Callithrix jacchus: one gene and its partners. The protein of the gene in region 3 binds, or shares a complex with, the protein of the main gene of each other region. Links are inferred from orthologs where the notes say so. Each region holds a gene or a part of one and is shown on either strand. Other genes may lie near its edges. The genes, in order: PPIE, XAB2 and PRPF19.

What was found.
Region 1: PRPF19 (region 3) and PPIE share a complex: the UniProt entries of both Homo sapiens proteins name them as parts of the XAB2 complex. The link is inferred for Callithrix jacchus from reciprocal best matches to the Homo sapiens genes PRPF19 and PPIE.
Region 2: PRPF19 (region 3) and XAB2 share a complex: the UniProt entries of both Homo sapiens proteins name them as parts of the XAB2 complex. The link is inferred for Callithrix jacchus from reciprocal best matches to the Homo sapiens genes PRPF19 and XAB2.

The regions. Positions count from the first base shown.
Region 1 is NC_133508.1:76,290,547-76,296,217, forward strand, and holds the start of PPIE (peptidyl-prolyl cis-trans isomerase E), read left to right. Parts: upstream 1-1,893; 5' UTR 1,894-1,912; coding exon 1,913-1,943; intron 1,944-3,278; coding exon 3,279-3,377; intron 3,378-4,888; coding exon 4,889-4,932; intron 4,933-5,413; coding exon 5,414-5,440; intron 5,441-5,671. UniProt on the Homo sapiens protein: Involved in pre-mRNA splicing as component of the spliceosome. Combines RNA-binding and PPIase activities.
Region 2 is NC_133523.1:7,196,688-7,202,112, forward strand, and holds the end of XAB2 (pre-mRNA-splicing factor SYF1), read right to left. Parts: intron 4,744-5,425; coding exon 4,581-4,743; intron 4,487-4,580; coding exon 4,296-4,486; intron 2,195-4,295; coding exon 2,072-2,194; intron 1,974-2,071; coding exon 1,802-1,973; intron 1,602-1,801; coding exon 1,472-1,601; intron 1,384-1,471; coding exon 1,274-1,383; intron 1,189-1,273; coding exon 1,127-1,188; 3' UTR 1,082-1,126; downstream 1-1,081. UniProt on the Homo sapiens protein: Involved in pre-mRNA splicing as component of the spliceosome. Involved in transcription-coupled repair (TCR), transcription and pre-mRNA splicing.
Region 3 is NC_133511.1:117,920,147-117,925,165, forward strand, and holds part of PRPF19 (pre-mRNA-processing factor 19), read right to left. Parts: intron 4,916-5,019; coding exon 4,840-4,915; intron 4,679-4,839; coding exon 4,569-4,678; intron 3,286-4,568; coding exon 3,130-3,285; intron 2,874-3,129; coding exon 2,804-2,873; intron 2,571-2,803; coding exon 2,485-2,570; intron 2,210-2,484; coding exon 2,039-2,209; intron 1,903-2,038; coding exon 1,797-1,902; intron 1-1,796. UniProt on the Homo sapiens protein: Ubiquitin-protein ligase which is a core component of several complexes mainly involved pre-mRNA splicing and DNA repair. Required for pre-mRNA splicing as component of the spliceosome.

The DNA of each region.
Region 1 (5,671 bases), on a different chromosome or scaffold from region 3:
GTGGATTGGAGGAACAGAGCCACTATCAACTCCTCCTCAGTTTGTGCCATTAACTCCTGGTCTCCAGGGTTCCAACCAATTCATTCTGGGCCTAGTGGTCAGAGCACTATTTAAAAGGACGTGACAATGTAACTCTCCTGTTGTAACTCAGCAGCTTCTCAAAGCCCCCAAATCTTCCAGGTGGCTTACAGCATCCTCATGATGTGGCCCTCTGCCCACCTTTGCCATGTGATTATCATGCCCTCCACCCCACCACCCCAGACTCTGGTCTTTTAGTCCCTTGAGTGTGCAGAAGTGGTCTCCTCCTCTCTCTGGCTCCTTTTCCTTCTGAATTCAGCTTAAATTTCACCTCAGGAAGGTCTTAACCCCCTGCTCTATCTAAAATAGGTGGTCCCATTATTTTCCTACCACCTGTAATTTATTTATTAGTGGGTTTAGTCCAAGATGCTCATCCAAACTGCACTATTTTGTAAGCTCCCTGCTATTTTGCAGACCTTGGTCAAAGTGAAACATTTTACAGGGGTTTGGGCTGTGAGAAACCTCCTGCCTCACCACCTGACCACAAGATGGACAAAGGCCCAACTACCAACTAAAGAAACATCCCGATCACATCTTGCTGGGCAAAGGCCCAAGGGACACCACGATGACATCCCACTGGAACAAGGGCCAAACATGCTCATGAGAACATCTTATCAATACCTTGCTGGGCAGCAAGCCATACTGCCCAGACCCCTCCCACCCATACCTATAAATTGTTCCAGCCTGTAAGCAGTGGTGGGCACTGGCATTAGGCTAGTTCCCCACTTCTGTAGGTTTTATGCTAGACATAAAGCCTGTGTTTGGTGTCGAGTCTCCCTCTGTGTGTGTGTGTGTGTGTGTGTGTGTGTGTGTGTGTGTGTTTATTTAACCCTTGCCTTCCCTTTAAAACCTAACACAAGAGTCAGCAAATGTTCTTCCTGAAGAGCCAGATGGTAAATATTACTGTAGGCTTTGCAGGCCATAGCTCTTCTGCCCTTGTAGCAGGAAAGCAGCCAAGTCATACTTACGGAAATAAGCGTGGCTGTATCCCCATAAAGCTTTCTTTATGGACAGTGAAATTTTAATTTCACATTAATTTTCATGTGCTAAAAAAAATATATATGTGTATATATGTATATATATGTGTGTGTATATATATATATATATATAGAGAGAGAGAGAGAGAGAGAGAAAGAGAGAGAGAGAGAGTTGGTGTTTCGCTCTTGTCACCAGGCTGGAGTGCAATGGTGCGTTCTCCACTCACTGCAACCTCCACCTCCTGGGTTCAAGCGATTCTCTAGCCTCAGTGTCCTGGGCAGCTGGGATTACAGGAGCCCGCCACCACGCCCAGCTAATTTTTGTATTTTTAGTATAGAGAGGATTTTACCATGTTGGCCAGGCTGGTCTCGAACTTCTGACCTCAAGTGATCCGCCCGCGTCAGCCTCCCAAAGTGCTGGGATTACAGGCGTGAGCCACCACGCCTGGGCAAGAAAATATTCTTAATTTTTTCCCAACGATTTCAAAGGTAAAAATCATTCTTAGCTCCTGGGTTGTCAAAAAAAAGACGCGCAGGATGACCACGCACCGTAGTTTATCGTTTGCCCAAAAGAGTCGGATTGATTTGGCCAAGGTTTGCCTGCCCCAACACCGTGAGCCCTGGGAAGCGCCAGGATCCCGTCCTCTTGTTCACCGTGGCGCACCGCAAGCTGTCCCGGATGCTTCCGGGCAGCGGGTTGCGGGTTGGACCAACGCCAGGGTGGGCGGGGTCTGAGAGGTGAGGGCTGCGGGGATGGGGCGGGGCCAAAGAGGGGCGGAACAGTGGGGAAGGGGGCGGGACAGTGGGGAAGGGGGCGGGTCGAGTGCCGGCTTCCGGCGGAAAAGGGCGCGAGCAAGATGGCCACTACCAAGCGCGTTTTGTACGTGGGTGAGCAGGCGGTGGCGCTAGCTGGAGTCTGGGCGAACGCGACCCCCAGAAGGTCGGGGCGTGGGGTGGGACATGTCTCTGAACCAGGAGGACGGCGAGCAACTGTCAAGGCTGGGTCTGGCGGTGGGCCCGGCGGTATAGCTCTGTCTCTAGTAGATGGTAGCAAACTAGAATGATCTTGGGAAAATGTATATTTGAAACCGTAACTTCTCTGCTTAAACTCCTTCAAAGGTTTCCCACTGTTCTCAGGAAAAAGTGCAAACTACTTAGCAGTAGCCACTTCTCCAGCTTCTTTGCTTTGCTTCCTAATTCCCTGGGTCTCCCGAAAAATGACCCATTTGCTCCTAAGTGTCAGGCTATTTCACGCCTTTGGACCTCTGCTTTTGCGAACTCCCTTGCAGTGAACAGCCTTGCCGCACACCTCAGGTGTGTGAACCCGAGACGGAATTCTGACTTGCTAGCCCGCTGAGCTCCAACGGGCCCCGAGGAGCGGTAGAGGAATATTAATGGTCCTCCAGATCCTCTTGTTAATTTGTTTTACAAACATCCAGTGCAGTGACGGCTCAGCCTCAGCCCCAGCGCCAGCCCCAGCCTAAGGGAAGGAGTTCCCAGACTAGCCAGAAAAGAAGTGGGAATTACCTCAGTAGCACACTTTTGATAAGTGCTGTAGTGGGGATGGACTATGATGATAGGGGCTTGGCTGCGGGACAAATGACCCATTCTTCTGGAGAAGTGAGGGCAAACTCTGGATGAGGTGATGCCAGAACTGATGAGCGGAAGTTAGCTACGTTACCAAAGCAGAAGCAAGGCTGTTCACTGCAAGGGATTCACAAAAGCAGAGGTCCAAAGGCGTGAAATAGCCTGACACTTGGGGGCAAGTGGGTTATTTTTCAGGTGACCTAGGGAATTGGGAAGCAAAGCAAAGAAGCTGGAGAGGTGGCTACCACTAAGGAGTTTGCACTTTATCCTGAGGACAGTGGGAAGTGTCTGAAGGAGTTTAAGCAAAGAAGTTACAGGTGCAAATCTGCATTTTCCTAAGATCATTCTAGTAGGCTTTGTGGAATTGGTAGAGGGAATGGAGGCAGGGAGGTCAGTCGTGAAGCTATTGCAGTAAACCGAGGACTAGATGATAATCTGAAAGCAGGGTGAAGAGAGGAATGTTTTCATAAGTATGGATGGGCAGAGATGAGAGGGGTGTGCGTATGTATGTGTGTGTGTACCCAAAGAACTGAATGGAAGGACCCTGTCCCCTGGCTAGCATGCTAACTGGGCTGCCAAGGACTTCTGCAAGAGTATGGAGATCAGTGGCTCAAAAGGCTCTTGACTTATTTGCAGGTGGACTGGCAGAGGAGGTGGACGACAAAGTTCTTCATGCTGCATTCATTCCTTTTGGAGACATCACAGATATTCAGATTCCTCTGGATTATGAAACAGGTGAGTTATTTTAGTGTCTCTCATGTTCAGAATCCTCCTATTAGGAAAAGGCCTTAAAAAAAATTAAAGTCACATCACAATTCTAAATATATATTCTAAATATGGTTAGTATACACTACAGTTAAGTTCATGAAGGTGCCTGGTGACAGTGATCTTGATGGAGAAGGAATGTTCTGAGGCCATGTGGTTGTGAAATTTAAATTCTTTTCAGAGTCTTCAGCTGTTGGGTTGAGATAAGACAGGTTTTTTGGTAGACCAGTAGGGAGATAGGTTTGAACTACATTGAGATTTGAATGTTGTTTTAATCTATCTGGATATTTGGTTCAATTCATTCACTTCAGAGGACAGTAAAGAAAAAAACATGAAAAAAAGAAAAATAATTAAAATTAATCTATCTGGATGGGTACCCTATCCCACCTGCTCCTTCTTGGCATCTGTGCTATTAAATGAGGCAGCAGGAAAGTCTAGCCCCATGATGGTGGGCGGGGGTGGGGTTCTTGGCCTCTGAATACCTGAGTGGGTTTCCCTTCAGTTGGTATCACAATTACAGTTCAGTTTTCTATTTTACCTTTGTTGTCATTTGTAGGATTGTAGTTTTAGGCCCAGTTTTATCATCAAACTTGCATATGATTGTTAGCAAGGTCTTTAAACTCTCTGGGCCTGAGGAATCTTTAATTTTAAAATGGGAAGGTTATATTGGCTTTCTAAGGGCCCTTCTAGCTCTGACTTCTATAATTAACGTTTTTGTGCTTAGCCTTTCTAGTTAGTTCAGCATTTTCCTGAGTATAAAGACTGAGCATCTTTATCAAGTTTTAGGATTCATGCTTTATGCACAGTTGATGCACAAAATGTATATTTGGATATATAATTGATGGGTCAAATGACTTGCTTTTTAAAATTAATTAATTATTCTTTTGAGATGGAGTCTTTCTCTGTTGCCAGGCTGGAGTGCAGTGGCGTGATCTCGGCTCACGCCGAGTCTCCTAGGTTCAAGCGATTCCCCTCCCTCAGCCTCCCGAGTAGCTGGGACTACAAGTGTGCACCACCGCACGCCTGGCTATTCTTTTTTTTTATTTTATTTTAATAGAGATGGGGTTTCACCGTGTTGGCCAGGATGGTCTCGATCTTCTGACCTTGTGATCCACCCATCTCGGCCTCCCAAAGTGCTGGGTTTACAGGCGTGAGCCACTGCACCTGGACATCTTTATTTTTCTAGTTGCCTTGCATGTAATAGTTAAGGTTTTAAGTTTGGCTTTGGTATAATAATACTTATTTTAAAGATTAAAAATACAGTTTGTTATTTAGCTATGTCCATTAAAAAAACAAAGTTTATTATTGCTTAAAGTATTGTTTAAGAAGAATCAAAGAATGAGATTCCTTCTTCTTAAATAGCTATTGGATAGAATTACAGGTGTTCAGATATGGCATGTAACTGACTTCACTTTGTGACCATCCTGTTTCTTCCCATTGCCCCACATAGTAATTACTTGTTTTTGTTTTCCATTTTGCAGAAAAGCACCGAGGATTTGCTTTTGTTGAATTCGAGTTGGCAGAGGTGAGAGTCTGTGTTACTAGTGTTTAGTCCTTGGTTTGTGGTGGTGGTACTGATTACAAAGGAAGCTTTTCACCATTTGATTAGGTTGTTGGGCCTTAAGCTGATACTGCCAGAGAGATCAGAAGTGTTTTTCTAAGAAAGGCTTCCCTCACATAATCAGACTGGACTGTGAATAACACATCAGACCTTCTTCCAGGCCCTTCCCTTCTTGCCCTGCAGTGGAGCTCCTACACCCCTGTTCATTGAGCATTCTTGCCTGGCAGCAGTGGTGATTATTTCTTGTGCCTTCAACTGGATGGCAGATTGTTGCACCACCAGCTCTAAAATCAGCCAGGAAGTGCTCTTTGTTAGAAACACACACAACCTAGGCAAGAAATGTAGAGGTGGCATTTTCCTAGATTTTTGCTTCTAAGTATGTTTAGACACCATAAGAAGCATTTGGCTGCAAGCCTAAACTTGTACCTTTGTCTTTTCTTTGCAGGATGCTGCAGCAGCTATCGACAACATGGTATGGCTAGGAATCTTTGTTATAGCCGAAATTGCTTTTTGGTGGTATAGAGGGTCCTTATTCATATATCAGTTTTCTGGACCTCCAAAGTTACAAGGTTGCAAGGGGAGGTAAAAATTCTCATGTGAAAATATTCATTGTGAATTGATCACTTATAAAATCAGTTCTTAGACTCCTTTCTCATTTAACAATAATGTAAGTCCTCATCATCCGTGTTGGTCAGTCTCTCAG
Region 2 (5,425 bases), on a different chromosome or scaffold from region 3:
AGCCTTGTCCCCTCCAAGGCTGGCCGGGGTCCCACACTCCCTGGGCGTGTTTCCGGTCTCCTGTTCTTTCTCAAACCAACTCATGTTTTCTACCCCTATAATCTTCTAATGCAGCTGCTGCCACAGGGTCTGTGAGGGCCCTGCCTCCCTGCCATCACCCCCAGCCCCCACCCAGGGGTGTTTCGCTGGCCCTGCTTGCTGGATTCTGCGTGGCATTTGTTACTGGCCCTCACCGGCATTTGGTGTGGGGCCAAATTCTACGTCCACCCTGAGCCAGTGATTCTGGGTTTCTCTTCTCTGAGGATCCCGTTGCCCCTTGGCATGGCCTGGGCATCTCAGATGCAAGGCCCACCACACAACCCAGGCTGGCACTGGCTGCCCAGCTTCTGCCCAGTCCCACATAGCTCGGCTCTCCCGCTTCATTCACTCCTCTCCAGCCCCATCACCTCTCCACAAAGTCCAAGCCAACAGACCAAGCCGCCCCATGTCCCCAGCTGCCTCCTGCCGACACAGCAGCCTGTGTGACCCAGTCCAAGCACAAATCTGATTATATCCCTTGATGCTTAAAACCCCTTAATAGCCTAGAGCCTGATAATGGCTTCCCAGGCTTAGGACTAAGGACCACGCCCTGGTGCTGGGCCGTGCAGGACGTCTGGCACCCAGCCCCCCTCCAGGCACAGAAGAGCCTTACTAATCAGTTTCCAGAGCTGGGCCAGAGCCTGCCTGACTCCAAGGCTCGCTCTGACAGTGGGTGCCACCCTGGGAGGTGGCAGATGCCTGGGACAACAGAAGGGCTCTGAGAGGCAGGGGCTAGTGAGACCTGGGCAGCCAGGGACGGGATCACCCTTCCACAGCCATAGAGTCTCAAGGAGGTTTCTGGGCAGGACCCACTCCAAGGCCCCAGGCAGCGGAGGGACTGGCTGCCCGAGTCCAGAACTGGCTCTGCCGGGTGGGGCTGGGTGGTGTCTGGCCTGGGGCCCGGCCGCCCCACCTCCCGCAACAGCCAATCCGGGCCCAGGGCCAGGCACTCCTGAGCTGCAATCCCTCGGGCACCTGGGCAGCAGGAAGGAGGCTCAGACCATGATGTACAAACACGGCTGTATTGGGGGAAGGGAGGAGGGATGGGTCAGTCTTCTTTCAGGCTCCCGAACACGGCAGCTGGCACGCTCTGCTGCTCTAGCCGGACCTCTGTGGAGGAGGTGGGAGCCAGTCACCCTCCGGGCAGTGTCCTATCCTGAGGCCCGCCCTGCCCTGCTCCCCGCCAGGCACTCACCGTTGGGCTCCAGGTCCATCTCGTCCTCGTCCTCATCCTCGCCCAGCTGGATTTCCTCGGGGTTGACCTGCTGCGCCAGCTCTGCCAGCTCCTCCCTGGAGGCGTCGCTCCTGGGGACAGAACAAGCTGCCTCAGTTCCCCACCCCAGGACCCCGTGGGGCTGTCCCTGTCTTGTCCCCTCCCAGGACCTGCCCTCACCTCACGAACAGGATCTTGCTCTGGGCGCGCAGGGGCTGGTCTCGCTCTGCCTCGGCTGCCAGCTGTTCTGCACGCTGCTCCAACAGCTTCATGTCATCCATGCCGCTCTGCCCAGGGGCCAGGTCGGACACTGTGGGGTGAAAGCAGGGGCAACGGTGCCATGGGGGCCCCTCCCACACATCAGATGCCAAGCTGTCCTGGTCCCCCAGGCAATGGCCCTGCCCTCAAGGAGGTTCCCATGAAGCCCCAGGGCTCCCAGATCCAAAAAGGAAGGCCAGGTCAGGCTGAGATGCCCCAGCCGGCCAAGGTGAGCGATGGCTGCGTGCTCACCAGTGCCCGTGGCGCTGCCGGAGACCTTGAGCATCTGCGAGGCCATGAAGTTGACCTGTGTGTTGTATGTGGCCTGCACACTCCGCCGGATGCGCAGCATCTCCTTGACGGTGTCCTCGTTGCCATGCCGGACCTCAAAGTCCTTCCATGTCTGCCAGAACGCCCCGGTCGTCTGTGTGGGGGGCAGGGCAGGGCAGGTGCTCATGAGCTGGCTGGCTCCACCGTAGCCCCCAACCCAAATACCTGTTCTCCCACAGCCCCCAGCCCTACCCGGGGGTCGCAGATCTGGGAGCAGAAGCTGTAGATGGCCCGGGCGCGGTCGATCTCCCCCAGCTTGCACTCCATGTCTGCGAACCGCAGGCACATCTCACGTGCATGCTCATCGGACAGCACCTGCGCACGACGACGGGTCGGTGGGGGGTGGTTAGGGAGGCCAGGAAAGGTGAGGCCACGGGGAGTGAGGCCGGGGAAAGAGCCTGGGGGAGTGAGGCCTCAGAGAGTGAGACTGCAGGGAGTGAGGCCGGAAAGGGAGGCCAGGAGTGAGGCCACAAGGAGTGAGGCCTTGGGGAGTAAGGCCAGGGTGGAGTGAGAACAGGTTGGGCTGAGGCCAGGGGAAGTGAGGCCTCAGGAGAGTGAGGCCTTGGGAAGTGAGGCCAGGGGGAGTGAAGCCAGGGAGGAGTGAGGCCTCAGGAAGTAAGGCCAGTGGGAGTGAGGCCACAGGGAATAAGGCCAGGGGGAGTGAGGTCGGGAATGAGGTGCCGGGAGTGAGGCCTCAGGAAGTGACGCTGGGTACTGAGGCTGGGAGTGAGCCAGGGAGTGAGGGGGGCAGTGAGACCTAGGGTTGGAGTGAGGCTGGTGGGAAGGAGCAGTCATGTGGGAGGGTTGGGGGGTGAGGCTGCAGGGAGTGAAATGAGGGGGGTGAGACAGGGAGGGGGAGTGAGGCTGGGAGGAGTGAAGCCTCTGGGCAGTGAGGCCACAGGGACTGAAGCCACGGGGGAGTGAGGCCAGGGCGGGGGAAGGAGTGAGGCTGGGAGGGAGTGAGGCCGGGGGGGAAGAGTGAGGCTGGAGTGAAGGAGTAAGGCCTGGGGCAGTGAGGTGGGGTGGAGTAAGATGGAGGGGGAGTGAAGCCAGTGGGAGGGAGTGAGGTGGGGGAGTAGCTGAGGAGGTGAGGCTTTGAGGGGTGAGGCGGTGGCAGGGGGAGTGAGAGGCTGTCGGGGGTTGAGGCCGGGGGGAGTGAGGCCGCAAGGAGTAAGGCTGGGAGGCCTTGAGGAATGAGGCTGGGGACCTGGGGGGTGAGGTCTGGGGGTGTGTGGCCAGGAGGGATGGAGGGGGAGTGAGGCCAAGTGGGGTAAGACGGGTGGCATGAGGCTGGGGGGAGTGAGGCTGAAAGGGGTGAGGCCAAGAATGAGCCTGGGAGTGAGGCCGTGGGAGGGGGAGTGAGGCCGTGGCGGGGAAGGGAGTGAGGTGGGGGGCAGTGAGCACAGAATGCACAGGCAGTGAGGCAGGGGGAGGGTGAGGCGAGGAGGGGGTGTGAGGCCTTGGGAAGTGAGATGGGGTGGGTGAGACCAGGAGGCGTGAGGCCTAGGGGAGTGAGGCCACCGGGGAGTGAGGCCATGGGGGATAGTGAGGCAGGGGCGGGGAGGAGTGAATCAGTGTGGGGGGTAGGGGAGTGAAGTGGGGAGGAGGAGTAAGGTGGGGAGGCAGTGGCCATGAGAGATGTAAGCAGGGGTGACGCTGAGGGGGAAGGAGTAAGGTCGGGGGAGTGAAGTGGGGGAGAAGAAAGTTCAGGGGAGTGAAGCCAAGGATGGGGAGGGGAAGTGAGGCCAAGATGGGGTGAGGCCAGGGGGAGGGGGTGAGGCCGGGGGAGGGGGTGAGGCCTTGGGGGGAGTTAGGCCAGGGGGAGGCAGTAAGGCTTGTGGGGGTAGTGAGGCCAGGGTAGGGGAGTAAAGAGGGAGGCTGGGGGGAGTGAGATGGTGGCAGTGAGTCAGGGGGTTGGGGGAAGGAGTGCTGCCTCTGGGAATGAGGCCAGGGGCAGAGGCTGAGAGTGAGGACGAAGGGAGTCAGGTGGGAGAAGTGAGGCTGGGAGGCCTCCGGGAGTTAGGCCTGGGTCAGGGAGTGAAGCGGGGGAGGAGTGAAGCAGTGAAGGAGAAGGGCTATTCTAGGGGAGTGAAGGGAGGAGAAAGCCAGAGGAGGGAGAGTAGCCAAGGGGCATGTGAGGCCTCAGACGCTGAGGCCGGGTGGTAAGGCCATGCAGGGGAGGCTGAGGTGAGTGAGGCAGAGGGCTGGGGGAGTGAGGCCGGGGTTGGGGAGTGAGGCCTTGGCGGGGAGGCTGGGGTGAGTGAGGCAGGGGGATGGGAGTGAGGCCAGGCTGGGGGTAGTGAGTCCATGGGGAATAAATGAGGGGGTAGGCTCGGGGGCTCCCAACCACACCACAGCTATTCCGGAAGGCCCCTCCCCAGCCCCTCCCACCAGCCCGGCCCCCTTCGATGGGCACCTCGATGGCCTTCTGGTAGATGCCTCGGGTGTGGGTGACTCCGTAGATCTCGGCCGCCCGCTTGATGTAGATGTTGAACATGTCGTACTGCTGCGCAGGCTCCACGGCCCTGGTGGCGCGCTCGTACACGGCCATGGCATGCCGGGCCAGGCCCCACTCCTCCTCCAGCTGCGCATACAACAGGTACAAGGCTGTGTGGGGCAGCGGGGAGAGGGGAGCGTGGTCGGCCGGGGCTAGTCAGAAACCTGGCCTGCCTGCCCACCGCACTCCCTCTGCCCGCCTCACTCTTGGCATATTTTGGTGGGCAGCCATCCAGAGCCTGTTCAAACAGGTCCCGTGCCCGCTCCAGCTTGCGGCCCCCATAGCGGGCGATGAATTTGGTCAGGTAGGTGCTCCAGATGTCCGACACATTGGGCCACTTGAACAGCGAGATGCCGCGCTCATACGCCTGTTGCCAGAGGGGGAGTCACACGTTAAGAGTCTGTAGGTAGAGACCACTGGGAAGCTGGGATGTCCTTGGGTCACACCTGTAGGGAGCCTGCCAGGGTCTCGCTCAGGCCCTTCCCTGTCCATGCCTCCCTGTGCCTAATGACATTTATGGGGGTCTTTGCTCTGCACAATCTCCCTCTGAGAATCAAAAGAACAGGGGTGCCATGAGACCTGTGAAGCAAAGTCTGGTCCCATAGGAGGTGACATTATGGGTGACGGTGGGTGGCTCCCCAGCTCCGCTGACACTGGCTGCCAGTCCCCAGGGAGAAGGCCACACCCCCCCAGGCAGATGGGCAGGCAGCAGCATGTAGGCGCATGTACGACCTCCCCATTTGTGTATCTGCGTAAAGCCCACACGATCCATAGAAACACACAAACATGACCACTCTGGCCTCGGGACAGGACCTCAATATGGAGACATGCGCCTTGGGACAGGACCTTGACAAGGAGACACGCAAGACACCCCATGGCCCCCCTACAGGCCATCTCCTAAACTGTGAGGCAGGCAGAGACCACACACATTGGCACCAACACCCTCCCCACGAGTCATGGGTGTACATGGAAGCAGGACCCTGTACCCCCACAAAACATTGGTATGCTGAAATCTTAACCCATAGTATCTCAGGAGGTAGACTCCTTTG
Region 3 (5,019 bases):
GAAAAAGTTTGAAATGCTGTGAGAATTACCAAAATGTGACACACAGACACCAAGTGAATAGACACTGTTGGAAAAATGGCACTGACAGACCCACTTGGGGCAGGGCTGCCAAAAATCTTCCATTCACAAAAAACAAAGGATCCACAAAGCACAATAAAGCTGAGTGCAAAAAGACAAGGTATACCTATACTGTACTTTTTGGCATTATTTTAAGTATATTCTTTCTACTTACAAAAAAAAGTTAACTATAAAACAGCACCAGGCAGGCCCTTTCAAGAGGTATCCAGGAAGAAGGCATCATCAAAGGAGATGACAGGTCTATGCGTGTTAGTGCCCCCTGGGACCTTCCAGTGGGACAAGATGTGGAGGTAAAGACAGTGATGTTGGTGATATGGCTGTGCCCCCACTCAAAGCTCACGTTGAATTGTAGTGCCCATAATCCCGACATGTTGTGGGAGGAACCCGGTGGGAAGTAATTGAATTGTGGAGGTGGTTACTCCCATGCTGCTCTCAGGATACTGAGTTCTCAAGAGATCTGATGATTTTATAAGGGACTTTACCCCCTTTGCTCAGCATTTGTCTCTCCCGCTGCTGCTTTCCCTTCTACCATGATTGGAAGCTTCCTGAGGCCTCCCCAGTCACTGTGAGTCATTAAGCCTCTCGCCCTTATAAATTACCCAGTCTCAGGCAGTTCTTCATAACAGTGTGAGAACGGACTAATACAGCTGGTGTTCCTGACCCGTAGGCCTAGGCTAATGTGTGCTTGTATCTTAGTTTTTAACAGGAAAAAATTAAAAAGTAAAAATATTAGAAAACAGAAAAAAGCTTATAGAACAAGGATGTAAAGAGAGACAATATTTTTGTACAGCTGTACAATGTTTGCTTTAAGCTAAATGTTGTTACAAGAGTCAATTTTTTAAGTTTATAAAGTAAAAAAGTTAGCTAAGGCTAATTTATTACTGAAGAAAAAGCGTTTTATAAACTTAGTAGAACCGAAGTGTACTGTGTTTACAAAGTCTACAGCAGTCAGTGTATGGTAATGTCCTAGGCCTTCACATTCACTCACCACTCACTCACTGAAAGCCACTTCCAGTCCTGCAAGCTCCATTCATGGCAAGCACCATTTCCCAGTGCACCATTTTTTAACAATCTCTCATACCTTATTTTTAACTGAACCTTTTCTATGTTTAGATCTGTTTAGATACACAAATACTTACCATTGTGTTATAACTGTATTCAGTACATTTAATACACTGTACAGGTTTGTAGCCTAGGAGCAATAATAGACTCTACTAAGGTTATAGCACTAGCCTTGGTGTGTAGTAGGCCACACCACTAGGTATGTGTAAGTACACGCTATAATGGTTGCACATGGCGAAATGGCCTAACAAGATATTTCTCAGAACATATCCCCATTAAGGGATGTGACTGTATGATCTTCAATCATCTGACCCTCTGCAAGTCTAATGTTTTGTGGGACTCTCGTGCACAGAGAATTAAAATGGCTTTCCTCCTGTCACTCTGTCTAATGTCCATTTATTTCAGATTCAGTTAGCAAACCTTCAGAGGGAGGAGTCTTCTCTTCCTCCAGCAACCTGCCCAATGCCACAAGGCATGGAAGTGGCAGAGCTGGTACTAGCATTTACTGCCATGCAGTCTCAGTCTGCTTCCTTAGCTATAAAGCTCTGCCTTAGGTGGTAACCGAAAGCTGCTTAGGTAAATTCATGCAAGCCTTAGAGATTCCTAACCCAGTGAGGCTTCCCTCCAGGCCTGGGCACCTAGAGACCAGCCTCTACCTGTAAAGTGAAGAATCTCCGTCCATTGTTTGCAGATGTAGATCTGGACATCCGTGCCCCCAAGGGCCAGGTAGGTACCACTCTGGTCAAAGATCAGTGACTTTACCTGTTAGAAACAGAAAGGTCACACGAGGGGAACAGAAACTATGGGGCAATTGCAGATAAGCAGAAGCAATGAGATTAATTCAATAATCAACAAATAAGGAGGCACAATGGGAAGCTGGGGAGGGAGAGGGGCACACCTCGAAGTTGCTATCCAGCTGCAACGTCTTAAAGTTCTTAAGCTTGCGCAGATCCCAAAGCTTAACAGAGGAGTCATCAGCCGCTGTCGCCAGGTAGTAACCATTCTCAGAGAAGGCAATGCTGGTGATGGGGCCCGAGTGGCCAGGGAAGTTGGCCACATTGGTTCGTTCCTACAGTGGCGGTGGGGAGTAAAATATGTCACCCATACATCACGAGAGGAAGAAAATGGGGCTCAGCAAACTCCTACCTGAGATGTCCACCACTGTCCTTCCAGGAAGGACAGCCAGCAGGATGCCACCCAGACCACACCATCATATCACACATGCACAGCCAGTGTCTCTCCACCCTCAAGGCCAGGTGCCACAAGCACCCAATCAGCACTGCACTGTCACAGACGCTCCCTCCAGCCCGGGGCCTCAGATGGAGGCCTACCATGTTCTCCTACCTTCAAGTCCCAGATCTTGATCTGAGAGTCCATGGTTCCCGTTCCAAAGATGAGTCCGTCAGGGTGGAACTGTGCACAGGTGAGAGCTGTGGAAGAGGGAAGACAGACCTGTGATTAGAGCCCACCAGGGAGAGACTAAGAGCAGCAAAGGTAGGTTCCTTGTTCTTCACATTCGTCAGTGCACCCAGGACAAAGCCTGGCACTAGACAGGTGCTGGTGGTAAATGTATCTTTAGAACAAATAAGCAAATGACTAAATAAAACATAAAAATAAATGATAAACAGCAAACAAAAAGCTGAGTGTCTACAAGGCAACTTACAGCAGCCGGAGGTCTCATCTGTCACCTTGGTAAGCACACGCCCTGTTTGGATGTCAGAGAAAGCCCAGTACTGGAAAAAAAAAAAAGAGAGAGAGAGAGAGAGACGATGGAGTCAGAGAGAGAGTGGGTCCTAGGCTTTGGTGGCCCTTCAGGAAGGCAGAGCCCCTGGTTTCGCAAACCCTGGCAAACCTAGCACCTCCCAGCAGAGGAAACATTCCCCTTTGAGGTTCTGGGGAACCACCTGGGGTGGGAAGATGTTCCTGCCACCCAGGATGTTCAAGCTTGGGGACCAGCAGGCCTCTCCAGGGCACTGGCTGGGACCGCACCTGATCATCGGAGGAGCTCAGGAGATAGTCACCAGTGGCATGAAGGCTGAGGCCGGTCACAGCACTCTCATGGGCCCGAACCACCTGTACACAAGACGCATTGGGGACCGACCAAATCCTAATAGTGGCATCGGGGGAAGCAGAAAACACCAGGTCCTAAAAGGAAAACAAATATCAGAGAGTATCAGTCAGAAAAAGGATATAGATCCTAACAATCTTATAAAAGGGGGCTGGGGATGCCCACAACTACCAACAACTGCTTCTCCTTTCAGCCCTGCCCTCCCTGGAACCACCTACCCACCCAATGGTGCCCAAGACAGCCAGTGGTAAACGCTATTAAAATGGTAACTCATACAGCATCAGGACTTGTGTAGGAGGCCTCGCCATCTAGTGGTAAAAAGGCTAACTGCAACATAGAGCGATTTTCCCACCCCATTTCCAGGACCAGAGGAGGAAACATGTAGCTAGTACCATTGAGGGTTTAAATTTTTTATTCTATTTCATTGAAATTTAAATAGCCACATGTACCTAACTGGTACTGTACTGCATGGCACAGGTCTGAGCAGTACTGGGACTGTAAGGGGCTGCACAGTGGTATTTCAGCACATCCCACATTTATGGATTTCCACCGTAAGTTAATTTTCCAAAAAACTTGGGCAGGGAGAGAATTTCGTGTCACTTACCGATTTTTTTGTTTAGTTAGGACATTAAAAACCATGAGGTAAAAATAACTACCATCTTTTTTAGCAATACAATTTCATGAGACATAACTATTGACATCCCATAAGCAAGAAAATAGTGCTTTGGATTTGAATACATTCAGTCATGAAAAATTCACCATGGTATTCTTACATTTCTCATTTCCCTAAAGTCCAAGGGAGAGCTTGACTGGGAAGCACTAACCAACCACCGTCCTGCAGCCCTAAACCCAAACTGTCTTGGGCTTAAAATTCGAATCCCATAATATCATTCTTCTGGTCCCATGAGTTTCCTTTACTCTGTAAACCAGACTTTCTGTTGACAACCCACACCATTTTCAATAGCCAACATGGTTTTTACATCTCTTGGAGGATCATGGGAAAGCACATGTATCTGTCTTCCTCATACCTGTGAGTCGAGACTGTGCTGAATGTTGTTTTCTGTAGTTTGTATTATGAACGCTATAGGATTTTTTTCTTTCCCTAATATAACATTTAAGTGAATATGCTTGTCAGACTACACATTTCCTTTCTCTCCCTGGTTGAAAGACCACTGCTTTAGAAGGTCTCACGCAGAGTTAAGAGCAATCTCCAGAACTCCAAAGTGAAGCCCCTCCAGGTGCCCAGTCTCAGGAGTCAGAGCTCTTTCTCAGCCTCGGTTCACACAAAGACAGCAGGGGACTCAGGGACAAACAGCAGCCAAGGAAAGAAGAACCAAGGGTGGCTAAGAGAAGCCCTTACCTGGGAAGGGTGAAACACCACGCTGGTGACCTTCTTGGTATGGCCTTTGAGGGTAGCCAGGATTTGTTCAGAACTTTTGTCAAACACAACAACATTTTTATCTGCCCCACCTAGAGGAGACACAAAGAGACCAAATAATGAGTCAGGCCCACCCAGGCCCTTTTGCTGAAGTAAATGCTTTGGTCCCGTGCCCATGAAGAGGACAACGAGCATGCGTCTTCCCTGCCACTCCTCCCCACTTTGGCCTGCTGGGCTAGGCCCAGATTCTCACCCGTGAGTATCTTGTTGGTGTCAGACGGGCAGAGGTCCAGGGCCAGGATCCCAGGAATGCTGGCACTGTGCAACCCCTTTGAGAGACACACACCAAACCCTGTCACAGCCAAATCACAGCAGGCCACAAAGCCACAGACCTCCCCTACTGCCATCCCAGTCACTCATGTTCTCAGGGGAG